Linked DNA regions of Rhinolophus ferrumequinum. The protein of the gene in region 1 interacts with the protein of each later gene in a pairwise test. Links are inferred from orthologs where the notes say so. Each region holds a gene or a part of one and is shown in the gene's direction. Other genes may lie near its edges.

Region 1 (8,238 bases):
ATTATTAGTATGAACACCAGGTTCTTAGAGGGGAAATGCTGAGCCCTAAGAATAGTTTCGAGCTACCAAAATTAGCAGTGATGTAATATCATCCTGAAATATCAGGAACAGATATGTTCCCACAGTCCTGTTAGGAAACCTGCACTTGCCCCGGTGCTCCAGCAACTGCATAAAGCCTGGGAAGGCCGGTCAGCTCGAACCCTCAGAAACATGCCCCCTCAGATCCAGTGAGGTTTTACAGAATTCCACAGGGCATAGAGATCAAGTGGTATGAAGAGGTAGGAGCTCAGGTCTCAAAGATGACCCATCCTCAGATTGTTAATTAGTATTTGACCCAGAAAGAGGAAATTTCACTAGGAACAGAAAATGGATTGATGAAGAAGTAGCTTCAGTCAAAACTGAGGACAGAAATCCTTTCACAGTGTCTTGCATTTTACAGCTTTATTAAAAGATTAGTTTTGACTTCACATTCACTACTCAGTTGTAAACCAAATGGGGGAATGGGTGGAGGAGATAAAAGCTCTCCACACAGATGTGCTCCTCTTTCCATGTCATATAAGTCCTGCTTCAGTTCCGAAATACCTGTCACACCGTCTGTTCCTGGATGTGATCTCTGTCACACTGCCTTAGATACTTATTTAGTTTTCAATTTGCAAGGAATCCTACCACCCTCTTCCATTGGAGGTGGTTAGTTGGCAGGGTGAGACTGGTGTAGACTGACGCTGGACAGTGAGTGGGAGGACACCCAAGAAGTGTTATGGAGATACTGTATTTACAAAACCCAGTAGCCCTTGGAAATAGCAGCTGTTCATTCCAGTTAAAAGGGGCTGCTACAGGGCTTGCAGATGAGGTCCTGCAGCTGACCTTGGTCTTAATATGAGCAGATTGTGACCCTTCAGGACTTCCTAGTACCACTAGTTGTCACTTCCTTTGTATTTAGCACTTCAGGATGTGTCACTGCTGGGCAAGAAATACTCTGAAATTCAGGCCATGAAGGGTTAGATTAGAGCAAAGTAATTTTGGTGAGCGATTTGGAGCTTTCAACCTCAGGTTTACAAGGAAAAACCCCGTCAGAACTTCCCGTGTTCTGGTCCTGTCCTGTAGTCTCCTCTAAGGGTCTTCCGAGACCCTTACAAGAGTACTACAGTAGGCATTTCACAGTGGAAATAGCCTCTGACAACACACTTCCAAATGCTTTCCAAATGCTAGTGCCAGTTCACAACAAGTACTTTTGTTTTTATTAATTTCTTGCCTTTACATATTTTGCCATCAAAATATATTCATTTTATTACATTTTAGAGGACCTTCGAAAAGTGCATACTATCTGAAACCACCGAGCAGTTATTTTTTGATAGACTTGATTGACAGTTCTCTTAATCATTTTTAAACTACCTGTCTACTAGAGTCTTAGAAATTCTGTGCTAGAATGGGCCTTATGTAATTAGGTGATTCTGTCATTTTCTAGAGAAACCCACAGGTTAAAGTGGCTTTTTTAACAGAGAGCCAGTTAGTAACAATTCAGAATAGCATATACTTCTTTTTTCTCAGTCCGTTTTTCTACTTTGCTTCCCTTTTCCTCGTAGATGAGTAGCTTTTGGGAAAATACGTTCCTTATAGCCATAGTTCAAAGGGTTGTTATTAGAGGTTATAAGGGAACAAACGTGTGGGGGGGACGAGGGGACGCCATGGTCAATTAAAATTGAGGCACGCTGAGTTTATTTTCTTTCTTTAGCTTAAGAGGAGATGTTTACTTAGACTTACTCGACCTTAAACTGCGCCCCCATCTTGTTTTCTTAGAGCATCTCAAAGTGCCACTGGTCCTTTGGGAAACAAGGCTCTCAAGTAAGTTTACAGCTGTTTTAGAAGACATCCTTAATGGAAATTCTGAACGGTCAATTTGTTACCATCGTACCATGTAACTGTAATAAATCTCAAAGTTTAGTGAGATATTAGAAAGAAAACATAATTGCTGTTCAGAGCTATACGCAAAGTATAGAGATTCTTTTCCACCTATGGTGTGTAAAATCAGTATTTGTGTTTAGTTGTCAAAGTTTTTCAAGGATCAATTAATGTGCAGATACAGTGAGGATAATTGATATTACATTTTAATAACGCTTTTGTATGGCACTTTATTCAGACTGCTTTCGTAACAACCCTGTGAGATAGGCCGGTGTTCAACATTATCAGAGACACTGGCGGCCTCAGAAAGTTTTTTTGTAATCTTTTTTCCCCTTAAGTTTATACCACAAAATAATGGAGCCAGAATTCAGTTTCAGAATTTCTGACTCCAAGTCCAGAGTTATTTACTACTACACCAGGTTTCTTATTTTTTCTTCCAGCTTTATATTTTACAATGAAAGGTGTGGATACAAATCTTAAAGTAACATCATTTTGGTTTATTATCAACACTATTTCTTTGTTATTGCAGACCCAGAAAGTGTAACTCCTATTATAGCTATCCCAAAGAAAATCCTTCTTTTGTCCTTTGCAGCGCCACTTCTTTAGGGGACTGGAGTGTATTTCAAATACCATTTGATTTTGAAACCAAGATTGGATATATTGTTGTGATTGCTTATGTAATTTTGGAAAATGTATCATCTCTGCATTCTTAGGCAAAGTAGAGATGGTTTGAAAGTAAAAAAGATTATTCAAATACAATAATACATCTTTATTCTCACACAAATGCTGTTTCTTAGCTCTAACTTGCTTTGACAACCTCCCGATGTAACTTCTTTGTAAATGTAAAATATTTATATTTTGAAATAAAATGACTGGTGTTGAATGAATCAGGTGGTCACTTTAGTCTGATTTCTGCTGAGAAATTTGATCTTGAGTGAAGTCAGACTTTTACAGATGTAACCATCTGTCTGCTAGGCCTGACATCTTTCCCTTTGGCTCCAGTGCCTACACTGAATGTTTATGAAATATGGGCAACTTACATAAGGGAAGATGTGTTTTGGGAGTGAATGCTGGGCTTTCACCTTAACAACGTGAAAGGGTCCCAGGCTGAAGCTGGGGCCCTCAGTGCACAGGATAAGGTGGCCTTGTGGTAGAAAAGGATATGGTGAGGTGGGCGGCTGGGAAGTAATAATCAGAGGGGAAAAAAAGTTGTAGAAAGGAACTGCATATTTTGAATGAACAAAACAAGCCTAAGCTATGGCTGTACTCAATACCAAAGATATCCGTGCAGCACTGGCAGGTGGAACTGACCCCATAGCGGAAGTACCGCGAACCACATTTCAACACTGCTTGGAAAAGAGCGTGCTGACACCTTGAGTTGGCGGTCTGCAGCTCATCAATCTGACATTATGGATGGAGAAATTATTCTGGCCAAGGTGTAAGGCTGTGCTAGCCAGCCTCAGAGTCTTTTCTACTCTAATAGTTTCTCATCGGCAGATACCATATGTGCTAGTTTACAAAATATTTCTTCATGCTTCTCAGTCTATTGCTTAAGCCTAGACTCCTTAAGAAAGTGTGTACTTTCTGACAACCTCCTTTTGGCTTTGCTCCTGGAATCCTTAGGGTAAGAAGTGTTCAGCTCTCCCATCCCAGTCACGCAGGGGTTCTGTCTTTTAGCCTTACTCTTAAGTGAATTTAGTCAGAAGTATACACCCATGAATAATCTTTTCAGTAACTGAACAGATCTGTTAAACTCTTCTGTAGTAGGCAACAGGGGAAAAGTAATTTTGAAAAGTAGTTTTAAAAAGTTAATAGTATTGAACAGTAGGTGAAGCTTTTCCATATGCTCTTTAATTTCGTTTTCAGGAATAATTCTGAACAGTAGCCTGAAAGATACCCAAACCATTATCTTCTTGCTGAGTACCTAGATACTCCTTAATTACATTACCAAATATTTCCTCTTCAGTCCAGTTTAAAGTGTTTGTGAGAAAGATGCAGTCAGAAAAGGAGCAGCGTGGAGGAAAACGGGCCCCCAGAGAGACTATTACAGGTAGAATTCCTGTCGCTGGGTAAAATCCCCTCCCTACAGACCGGACTCTGGTTCTGTTCTACCAGTTAGTTGCAACTCCCAGCGCAGCTTCCAGAAATTTTCGCGGGAATAGGAGTTAGGACGAGTCACCTATCAGAAGGACTGGAAGCTTTGCCGGAGACGGTGTCCTTGTCGTGGTAAGAGGCCACGTGGAGGCGGAAAGCCCTCAGGTGTCTTCTATGTTCTAGTGGGGTGAGACGCGTGTGAGGTCCACAGAAGAGGGGTCCCACGAGCGGCGAGAGAGGGAGACGGGGCGGGGCCCTGGGTAGGGGGCAGGCTGCAAGGTGGACCCTGGACAAAAACGTGTGGGGGCGTGGCACAGGCGGGGCCGTTCCGGAGGCGGGGCTCGGCTGCTGCCAAGCAGGCCGGGGGTGGGGCTATCCCGGGGGCGGGCCGGGTTGGGGGCGGGGCCTCGGGAGGCGCGGGTGCATCGCGCTGCAGGCGGGCTGGCTGGCAGGCGGCGGGCCCGCAGTGGCCTGGCGCCTGGGCAGCGCGACCGGCGGAGGGCCATGGCCTCCTCTCCGGGCCCCGCCGGCATCGGTGGCGCCGGCGCAGTGCAAGGCTCGGGGTCGTCCGGCTTCGCCTTGGACTCAGGACTCGAGATCAAAACGCGCTCGGTGGAGCAGACGCTGCTCCCGCTGGTTTCTCAGGTAAAGTAGCGCCCAGCCCGGCCCCTTGTCTCCCTCGGACCGCGATGGCGGTGGCTGCTCGCGCGGCTGGGCCCGGGCCGGAGGCAGCCGCTGCCCCACATTCCGCACTGGTACTGCGACTTCGGGGCCGGACCGCCTGTCTGGGCTTGGGGACTGGCGGAGGCGGAGGCGGAGGGAGTCGGGACCCTCCGAAATTCGGCGGCGAGGCCGAGTGGGATGACCTGCAGGGGAGGCTGCGGGGCGGGGAGCCCCGTTGGAGACCTGAGTGCCCCGCCGGCAGGTGCGCTGCCCGGCCTGCCCCATAGGACCCGCCTTGGGGCTGCAGTTCCGGCGGCCCCGGCCCCGCGAGGCCCCCACCGCTGGTGGGCCGCCAAGCCTAGCTTCCCACGGGCAGAGAGGGTCCCTGCGGGGCCCTCGCTGGCCCTGCTAGTTGCCGCTCTTTAACCCACTGCGGGCACACGTTTGCATCCCCAGCCCAAAGCCGTACTGGTGGCCACTCTGGCTGGGGCATTCCTACTGGCCTCCAAGTCCAGCGTGCTCTCCCGCAGGCCTTTGTGCCTTTCCCCTGCGTGTGTGTCGGCTCGCCAGGCTCCCATTCACCCCGGGCCACGCTGCCCCTTCCCCTTAACCTGCCTGCTCGCTTCAGTCGGCTTTTGTCCCGCCTGGGAAGAGGGAAGTGAAGGACTGTCTGATAGTTCATCCGGACGCACATCTTTTTGCCAAATCTCATGTGGGATAATATGCTTCATTGTAGTTGTTGGTCATACCAGAAGTCTGCAATCAGCTAATTGACGCGCGTAGTTTTAGAAAAGTTTTTGTTACGGTGAGCCGGCTTATACACAGCCCGAAGGCTAGAATTCCTCACCTAGATCTGTTGTTCTGTGCCAAGCGCTCGCTGGAGGGAGTGAAGAATCTTGTGCCTTGAGGAGCGTTGGCGACGTGTGACTCACGACTAGATGGCAACGTCTTCATGACTCACAGTTTGCCCAGATTTTAGAGGTAGAAGGAATCTTAAAGGTTATCTGATTCTAAATTAAAAAATTCTTTTCTTACAGCATCCTCCACACCTGGTCACCGGTCCCTTGCTTAAACATGTTCAGTGATAGGGATCCCGGAGCTGGTCCAAACAATTTTACATGCTGTCTCTTCTCCATCCCAGCCCTGCAAATATTTGAAAACGGTAGTCACACATGTCCCTAGATTCCTGTTATGCTCAATTAAATAAACAGCTCCATTTTCTTCACATGTGCTCATTTTAGACTGGCTAACAGAATAGTGAATGAAAACATCTGACTAGTCCCCTCCGCCTTCCCTTCCATGTCTGACAGAGGCCCTGACCAGTGGGAAGGAGGGCTAGGATCAGTTAGTAATGTATGCTGTGTCGCCTCCCCCAAAAGAATACCACCTTCACCACCAGTACAACTGCAACCAAAACTACTGGAGTAGTTTCAAGAGACACAAAGATCAGAGCGCAGTGGAGTTCAACTTGACAGTATTCATTTGTTTAACATTGTGCACCAGGCCATGTTCTAAGCACTTTATAAATATTAACTCATTTAGTTCTCGTAACTGTCCTATGAGGTAGATAGATGTTTATTCTCATTATGTAGATGAGAATACTGAGGGGCAGTGAGGTTAAATAACTTGTCATGGCACTTTCAACTATAAATGTCAAACTGGGATTTGAACGCAGGCAACCTGGCTACAGAGTATATGCCCTTAGCTGCACCATGTGCTGTGTCCTTTCTAGAGATTGGACGCAGTGAAGAGGTCAGCTTGTAGGAGGTACAGAGAACAGATCCACAATGGAAAAACAAGCTGGAAGGTTGTTGTAATCTGGAGAAATGATAGTTTTTCACAGTCCCACTGCTAAAAATGTATCAGTCCTACAGCTCTGTTGTGTAATTCTGGGGGGAAAGAGGCTGGAGGGAGTAAGGAGTGGAGGAGGAATGTGTGAATCGCGGCTGAGTTAACTAGAGGTCAATGCCAAAGGGGGAAAATGCCAGTTCTTTTTCCTCCCTGTTAATGACTCATTCAAGGCTATAGCTGAGGTTCTGCATCCCACTCGTTATGTACCCACAGCAATACCTTTAGCACAATACCATAATTGATATTTCTAATGATTGACTGTACTCAACAGGGAAAAGTTAAATTATGCTTCCAGTCGAAAAATGTAGCATGGCCAGAATAACTGTTAACAAAGCAGGAAAGTGTGGAGTACAATTAAGAATGCTGTTTTTAAGTTTCAGTGAATGTCAGTGGATTAAAACTGCAGCTTTCTAGAAACTCGTATTCAGTAGTCTCTTTTTCTGCGGATTATCCATTATTATCCAAGTCATGCTTCACCCTCTTATCCACAAGATTATTTAAAGCATTTTAAGAAAGCAGTTGTGTGCTTACTAATTGCTGCTCTTGGAGGGACTTGTATTCTAGTTGGGAGACAGGACATGGGTAGAATAATAGCACATGCCAAGTGTCAAATGAACATGAGATGTTCTCTAAAAGCTCAGAGAAGGCCTGGAGCCGTCGGAAGGATGCCATCGAGGAGACGGGGTCATGAGGTGAGCAAATAGGACTGGCACTGTACGTACAGTTGACTGAGTTTTAATCAGGTCGTTTCTACTCTAATACCATCTAACCTCTTCTGACTCTCCAAGTAAAAAGTTATGGGTACTACCGGCTTTATTCTAGGAATGCAAGGTTGAGTCAATATTAGACACATGTATACAATTTTCTACATTTGAAATATGTGTTTTCTAGCTAATAGGTACAGAAAAATCATTCAATTAAATTCAACTTCGAATCATGATAAATAGCAGTTAGCAAACTAGTGTCACAGAAGAAAACTTCTTTAACCTGATACAGTATATCTAGAGAAAACCTACAGTAAATATCATGGCAGCAAGTCACATTTAAAACAAACATTTCCTTTAAAACCAGAAACAAGGATGCCTGCTATCACGTCTTCTATTCCACACTGTACTGGAAATCCTAGCCAGTGCAACAAGACAGGGAGAAGTGAAAGTGGAAAGATAGGAAAGGAGAAATTAAGACTCTTATTGTGATATAATTATCTACATAGAAAACTCAAGAGTTTACAAATAAATTATAAAAATTAGGAGCGTTAGTAAGTTCACTGATTGTAGGATACTGAAGTCAACTGCATTTCTGTACATTAATAACAAGCAGAAAAGTTAATTGTAAGACACTACTGGGTAGAATAAAAATGAGGTTCCTAGGAATATATGTATAACAAGAGATGTCAAATGTTGCGGAGAAAATTTTAAAATTTTATGGAAAGCCAAAGTACATCTGAATAAATGAGAGAGAAGTACTGTATCTTTGGTTAGATGAATTGATATTATAGGCACATCCATTTTCCCTATTGATCTATAAATTGAACACAATTCCAATGAAAACAGGATTTTTAAAAGCAGAATTTGATAAAGGTAATTCTAAAATTTGTATGAAAGACTAAAGAGCCAAGAATAGTCCGGCGAGAAACATGGTTGGTAGACTTACTTTACCAGATTTCAAAACTTATTATAAAGCTATAGTAATTAAGACAATGTGGGCATAAGAATAGAGATGGGCAAATAT
Region 2 (8,154 bases), on another chromosome or scaffold:
CAGCTGGCAAATGAGAGAGGGAAGTCTGGGAGGCCACAGAGGAGGAGCCCAGAATTCTACATATCATCTGCCTACTCTCTGGAGGAACATAAAAGAATCTGGAGTTTGACAATGTATTATGAAGAATATCAGGATTATAGCCCTAAATTAGTAGACATATGAAGAAGCAAGAAAATGTAAATTATACTGAAGAGAAAAATCAATGGAGACTGAATCCAAGATGTCCCATATATTGGAATCAGCAGGCAAGAAGTTTAAAGCAGCTATTGCAACTATGCTCAATAAGTAAAAGAAAATATCATAATGAATAAACAGATATGAAATTTCAACAAATAGAAATTATGACAAAGAACCAAATGAAACTCTAGGACTGAAAAAATACAGTATGTGAAAAAAAAAAAAAACTCAGCCCAACAGTAAATTGGAGATGATTGGGTATCAGTGACTTGAAGACAGTAATAGAGCAATGGAAATTATCCAATTTAAAAAACAGGGAAAAAAGGGAATGAAGAAGTGAAAAAGTCTCAGTGACCTGTAGGACAATATCAAAAGCTCTAATTTACATGTAATTGGTCTCAGAAAGAGAAGAGAGAACTATTGAGGCAGAAAAAAATATTTGAAGATATATTGATTGAACTGTTTCCAAGTTTGGTGAAAGACGTGTAGAGACTCAAGAAGCTCAGTAAACTCCAAGTAGGATATATACAGAGAAAACCACATCCACATTCATTGTTGTCAATCTGCTGAAACAAAGATAAAGATAAAATCTTGTACAAACTGTCAGTTATAAAAACAGTCACAGGGATGTAAAGAACAGCATAGGGAATACAGTCAACAATATTGTAATAACTATGGTATTAGATAGGTACTAGACTTATTAGGATGATCATTTCATAAATTATTAAATATCTAATCACTATATTGCACACCTGAAACTAATATTGTATGTCAATGTAATTGGAAAAATTTAAAAATATTTTTAAAAGAATAAACAATTCCAATTGGAGAAAAAAGAAATATCTTGAAAGCAGCCAGAAGAAAATGATATACAAGGTATGGCAATTAAGTTCGTGAATTCATCCTAGAAAAAGTGCTACATACCTCATTGCTGAGTATCACTATGGTCAACTTCGAAGTACTTCCCTTGGGAAGCTATGCACCAACGCCAGCACCTAGTCCACCCTTCAAAGCAATTTTTTAAAAAATTATTTTTAAAATTATTTTTTTAATTGGGGAATATTTGGGAACAGTGTTTTTCCAGGATCCATCAACTCTATGTCAAGTTGTTGTTTTCAATTTAGTTGTGGAGGGTGCAGCTCACTGGCCCATGTGGAAATCAAACCGGCGATGGTGTTAGGAGCACTGCACTCTAACCACTGAGCCCAGCGATTCAGTTGCAAGCTCAAGCAGTTGTTTCTCACTGGTCCATGTGAGAATCGAACCAGCGACCCTGGTGTTATGAGCACTGTACTCTAACCATGGAGTGAACCAGCCACCCCTCAAAGCAATTTTGGAACTCTTTCTGGAATGGCCATCACAGCTGTCATCATACTACCCTTGATGTCCTGAATATCATCAAAATGTCTTACTTTCAATATTTCCTTTATCTTTGGGTAAAGAAAGAAGTCTTTGGGGACCAGATCAGGTGAGTGCGGAGGGTGTTCCAATACAGTTATTTGTTTACTGGCTAAAAACTCCCTGCCAGACAGTGCCATGTGAGCTGGTACGTTGTCGTGATGCAAGAACCATGAATTGTTGGCAAAAAGTTCAGGTTGTTTTCATCTAACTTTTTCACGCAGCCTTTTCAGCACTTCCAAATAGAAAACTTGGTTAACTATTTGTCCAGTTGGTACAAATTCATAATAATTTGTGAATAATAATTTGTGAAAAATAATTTGTGAATTATGATTTCTGATATCAAAAAAGTTTACAACATCATTGCAACAAGTTCGCTAACATAATTGTCAGACCTCGTATGCATATTTTTGTGGCCGAGAATTATTACAAAGTGATAAAAGTGATTAGAAACTGATAAAAGGCTTTCATGCACATATATTACTATAGAATATAGTTCTGTGGATAAATTGGAATGGAAATACAAGTTCAAGAAGATGAAAGAATGATACAATTTCCGATGTAAATGAAAAACTTGTTCAAGTATTATTTTTTTAAACTTTTATTTATTTGTGTTTTTCCACAAGCCATCAGCTCCAAGTCAAATAGTTGTTTCATTCTAGTTGTGGAGGGCACAGCTCACACTGGCCCATGTGGGGACTGAACCGGCAACCTTAGTGTTAAGAGCACCGTGCTCTAACCAACTGAACCAACCAGCAGCCCTAGTTCAAGTATTTTTACAGCTAGGGTTGAATACTTCCACCCTTTCTCCTTTTCTTGTAATCACTGCATGTTTTTGCCTAAAACTTTTAGGAGGTGCCCAAGAAAAATGTCTGAAGACCACTGGTTAATCCACCCTCTCAAAATACTTGGGTGTGTAATGGAGAAGAAAAGGAGAGGTACCTAAAGGGAGGCTTTTATCAAAGGAGACTGCATTCTTTAAGATGGGAAATTTGAGCTCGTGTGTTGGGTTATTCCTATTTTTCAGAAAAGAGAGGATCAGAGAAGCTATGAGTTTACGCCAGATGAGGAGACTCCGCAACAAAATCCAGGTAATACAGTTGACCCTTGAACAACACAGGTTTGAACTGTGGGCATCTACTTATACATGTACGATCCTGGGACTCCACAGATGCAGAGGCTGGCTGTATGCATTGATCTACAATAGGGCACTTGAGCACTTGAGTGGATTTTTGTAGTAGAGGGGGTCCTGGAACCAGTTCCCCCACCCGTGGATACTGAGAGACAACTAAGTGTTGGGGGAGTCAAAAGTTACATGTGGATTTTTTGACTGTGCAGAGGCTGGCACCCCTAACCCCTGAGTTGTTCAAGGATCAACTGTACCTCAGTCAGGATAGGCTATATTATGCTGCAGCAGCAAGCACCCACTATATCTCAGTGACCTGAACATATCTCGTGTATTTCTCTCCTTTACTACACATCAGTGTGGGTTGGCAGGTGATCTGCTCATCTTAGCCACTCAACTACTCAGGCCCCCAGATGATGGCTTCATCTCTGTAGTCAGGGCAGATGGCAGAGATACAATGACTAAGTTTTTTTAAGCTGGTAGGAAGTTAACAAGTGTTACTTCTGTGTGTTTCCAGTGGCTCAGAGAAGTGCCAATCCTACCAGGTGCCTAGAAAGGGAAACTTCGATGAGCAGCGCGAATAGGTAAATTCTATTGACTACTACCTGTCATTTCCAGTATTGCAAATTGCCACACGTTTGTATTATCTGGTACCTACTTTGAGACTGGATAAGACCGGGGCAAAATAAAATATAAGACATTGTTAGTTCATTTCAAAAGATCAGAGATGGGTTCTGGTCTCTGCCACTCAGTTATTGCTCTGTAAGTCTGGAAGTTCCTTTGCCTCTTTGGATCTTTGGGGAGGACTTGTGCTCTTCCAGTTGCAACGTTTTCTGGATGTAATGAGCTTAGGACCGGAGTAAGAGCGAAGGAAGAAAGCAAGCCCAACCAGGACCAGATGTGCTAGCTACAAAAAACCCCCACTGTCTAGTATTTTCGTCCCGAAGCCTGTTGTGTTAACGTGCTTTCAGCCAGCAGACAGCAGTACTGCTTTCAGCCAGCAGAGAGCAGTAAGGAGATACCACATTATAATAGCGATTTTAAAAGTCTAGAGTTACTCAGTTTTGCGCGTTCGAATCACCTGGGGGAGGTTTTTCAAAAATCCTGAGTCCGCGATGCACCGCAGACAAAGAAATCAGACTCTGGCAGCGGAGACCGAACATTGGTATTTTAAAAGAGTTTCCCAGCTTTGTGCGCTGGGTATTCTTGAATCCCTACTGCTTGTTAGAGGGGCTGGATGATACTTAGTCGGCACATCCTCTTTTTTTTTTTTTTGGACTTGGCTACCAGGCACTCCTGGCTCTGCCATTTATTACGGTCCCTTGTGAGGTTGAAATGGGGTCAAGATTGAAATACAGATTGACAAAGATTATATGTCCAGTCAGCTTTAGATGATTTTCATAAAGTATTTTGAATACAAGCCCCTTCTTTTTTGGATCAAGATAAAGGGCTGAAAAAAGAATACCTGACCAGTAAGATGGAACCAGAAAATTCAATATTTTTTTTTCCTTTTTTAAATTCCTTCTTTTTTTTTTTTATTTATTGGGGTGACAATTGTTAGTAAAATTACATAGATTTCAGGTGAGTCGGCACATCCTCTTGAAAGAGTTCTGGAATCGAATTCTCTGTTGTTTCTTCTCCCAAGAGCTGTCAGGGTTGCATTTTAATGGGGGGACATCAAGCTAGAGAAAATCTTCGGGCATCAGCGGGCTTCCTAAGGCTTGGGGCGAGCTGATTTCCCAGCGCAGGAGGCGGTGGTGAGGACTCGCTCTAGCCAGAGGGCGCTGCAGGCTGGGCGGTGGAGACTCTCGGCTTTCAGCGGGACCCGAGAAAGGAAAAAAGCTTGGATCGCTACGAGTAGAGGAAGAGGCAGCAAAGGAGGAGGGGAGAGGAAGAGCAAGGGAGGAGCAAGGGAGGAGCCGGAGGAGACGTAGCGCGGGCGGGCGGTCCCCACTGTGGCCCTGCTTCCGGACGGCGGCCTGGTCACAATGGCGGGTCTGGACATCGGACTCACGGTGCCGGTGTGGCTGGCCGAGGACGACCTGGGCTGCATCATCTGTCAGGGCCTGCTCGCCTGGCCCGTTACGCTGCCCTGCGGCCACAGCTTCTGTCGGGACTGCTTGAAGGACCTGTGGGGCGCAGGGCGCCACTGGTCCTGCCCCACTTGCCGCGAGGGCTCCGAGCAGCAGCTGGAGCTGCGGAAGAACACGCTGCTGCAGGACCTGGCGGACAAGTACAGCCGGGCGGTGGGCGAGCTGGAGGGCGGCCCGGGCCCGACCCGGAGCCCCGGCCCCTCCCCGCGACCCGCGCGCCGCACCGGGCTGCAGAAGGTAGGGTAGGCGGGTCCGGGTTCCCGTCTCTCCGTTACCACTATCTGCCCACGCTTCCTGCACCGCTTTCCCCCATGGATCTTCCTCCCTCCCTCATCCTTCCTACTTTCACATTACTTTTCTCCATCTAAAAGTAGAACCCGCTCTTTGGAAAGTTCAGAAGAGTATGAAGAAGCAGAAAAAAGTCCAAATCTCCTGAAATCCTTTCAATTTAGCTGCTATACACCTTGGCATATTTCCATTTCTTTGCAGTCTTTCTGCTGTCTGTGTCTCTGGCAATTTTTTTTCTGTTTTGTTACTTCGTTTGTTCTGTTCTTTAGATTCCACATATAAGTGAGACCGTATGGTATTTGTCTTTCTTCGTCTGACTTATTTCACTTTGCATAATATCCTTGCACAAGGTAAAATTTCATTCTTTTTTTTAAGGCAGAGTAATACTCCATTGTATATATGGACCACTGTTTCTTTATCCAGTAATCTTTTGATGAGCATTTTGGTTGTCTGGATTTTTTAATTGTGGTAAAATACATATAACAAAACTTGCCATGTTAACCATTAAGTGTACAATTTAATGCCTTTATTATATCCACAATGTTGTGCAGCCATCATTACTGTCTATTTCCAAAACTTCATCACCACAAACAGAAACTACCCACTAAGCAGTAACTTCTCATTCTCCCTCCTTGCAGCCCTCCCTGCCTCTAATCTTTCTGTCTCTCTGAATTTGTCTACTCTAGATGTTTCATGTAAGTGCAATTTGTGTCTGGCTTCTTTCACTTACCATAATGTTTTCAAGGTTCATCCATGTTGTACCATGCATTGGAACATCATTCCTTTTTGTGGCTGAATAATATTCCCTTGCATGTATATACCACTTTTTTTTTAATCCATTCATACATCAGTGGACATTTGGATTGTTTCCGCCTTTTGATGATTGTGCGTATTATTGCAGTGAACGTTGGTGTACAAGTATCTGAGTCCCTATTCTCAGTTCTTCTGGGTGAATACCTAGGACTGAATTTGCTGGGCCGTTAGTGTAATTATACGTTTAACCTGAGAAACAGCCAAACTATATTCCACAGCAACTACATCATTTTACATTCCCATCAACAAAGTTAGACGGTTCCAGTTTTCCCTGGCTTTTTCTTGTGGGACTTAGGTGGTTTATTGTGTCTTTCAACTAGAATCTTTTGTCCCAAACATCCGCTATGGTAGTTTAGTTCAGCTTGCAGCGTTTGCCTGAGTTAGGTGAAACAAAGATGAGCACACTGTGCCATTCCTTCAGGCAGCCCCTAGCCAGGTTTGAACAGACATACAGGACAATTTCTGAAAAAGGTCTGCTCTGCACCTTCCAGAACCAGGACAAGGGTTCCAGGATTCGTGAATACTGAGGGAGTGGGGATGGCCAAATAAAAACACCACGAAACTTTCCTAATGCCAGGTTGCTCTTTTTTGATTCAGTGTTTTCCAGAGTTCTGGCAAAGTTGGTTCTGATTGTTTCTGCTTGTTTTTCAGTGTTTCTGTGTGTGTGTGGCGGAGGTGGGGGGGTGAGGGGGGTGGGGTGCGGGGATGAGAGCTTAGAGTAGCCCACTACACCCGATTGCTAGTCTCTGCAGTCCTTTTAAATAGAGTTGAGGTCATGTTGTATAGGCAGGTTATGTCCTCTTATTTATTTATTTATTTTAAGTAACTATGGTTTTTGTGATTAGTTTCTTAATCTTTTAAACCTCAGTTACTTTTTTAAAAATTTTTAAGTGTGTTTTTCCAGGACCCATCAGCTCCAAGTCAAGTAGTTGTCTTCAATCTAGCTGTGGAGGGCACAGCTCACAGTGGCCCACGTGGGGATCGAACCAACAACCTTGTTGTTAAGAACACCGCGCTCTAACCTACTGAGCTAATCGGCCGCCCCGTCCTCTTTTTTTAAAAAAACTTAACTAACAGATTTTATTTCTTAGAGCAGCCCTAGATTTACAGAAAATTGAAGAGGTGCTCCAGAAAGTCCTCACACACCCCTCACGTTCCCCATATTATTAATGTCTTGTATTAGTGTGGTGCATTTGTTACAATTGATGAACCAATATTAATACATTATTATTTACTAAAATCCTAGTTTTCATTTACGTAGGTAGGGTTAACTCTTTGTGTTGTATGGTTCTATGGCTTTGACAAATGCATGAGGTTATGTATCTACAATTATGGTATCATACAGTTTTAGTGCCCTGAAAATCCTGTGCTTCTCTTGTTTGTACCCCTCACTCCAAACCCTGGCAACCACTGATCTTTTTGCTGTCTCTTTAGTGTTGTCTTTGCCAGAATGTCATATGCTCATAGTTGGAATCATAGAGTATCAGGCCTTTTCAGACTGGCTTCTTTCACTAAGCAAAATTAAGATTTGTGGCTCGATAGCTCATTTCTTTGTATTGCTGAATAATATTTCATCGCATAGAGTGGACCTTATACCTGAGACAGATGCCTTCCCCTGCACCACTCACTGCCAAATCTCCAGGCTGTCACCCTATTTCTTCACCTTTTGATGGACATGCTGGTTGCTTCTATTTTTTTTTTTTTCAATTATGAGTAAAGCTTGTTCTCTTAGATTATAAATGCAGCATTATCCTTCAGGTCCTTAAAATTCTTTATTAATGTAGTTTATAGTGACCGACTATATGTCCCATTGGCTTTTACATTAAAATGATGGTCTTTGGCTGGTGGGATATTGGATGATTTGAAACATTTCTTCTTTTCAATTCTCTGCATGTTCTAAATTCAAATAAGTGTGCATCTCTCTTATGGATAGAAAAAGCAATGTAATTATTTTTTTTAAGTTTTTGATTTGCTCAGACGCCTGGAGAAGGCCTCCATTCCAGAGTTCCAGCTGCTTGAATTTTAGGAGAAGGGCCTTGAAATTTAAGAGCAAACAATGTTACCAGCGGTCAGCCACCTCCCTCTCTGAAATAGCCTGGTTATGTCTTCCAAAACACATACAATTTGAGGGACACCAGGGCTTCTTAAGAAATGAAAAAGGTCCTGGGTCAATTCCAGTTTTTGAGGTTCCAGGAAAATTTAAAATAATGAAAAATGTCAAAGCCAAGTTATAAAAGCTCTGGTTTACTTAGAGTTCAA

What was found.
Region 2: the proteins of CTNNAL1 (region 1) and RNF135 interact in binary tests that used the Homo sapiens proteins (3 or more experiments, as listed by UniProt). The two-hybrid records come from large-scale screens. The link is inferred for Rhinolophus ferrumequinum from reciprocal best matches to the Homo sapiens genes CTNNAL1 and RNF135.

Annotation. Positions count from the first base shown.
Region 1 is NC_046295.1:62,086,134-62,094,371, reverse strand, and holds the start of CTNNAL1 (alpha-catulin), read left to right. Parts: upstream 1-4,411; 5' UTR 4,412-4,497; coding exon 4,498-4,638; intron 4,639-8,238. UniProt on the Homo sapiens protein: May modulate the Rho pathway signaling by providing a scaffold for the Lbc Rho guanine nucleotide exchange factor (ARHGEF1).
Region 2 is NC_046304.1:20,583,587-20,591,740, forward strand, and holds the start of RNF135 (E3 ubiquitin-protein ligase RNF135), read left to right. Parts: upstream 1-4,617; 5' UTR 4,618-4,689; coding exon 4,690-5,031; intron 5,032-8,154.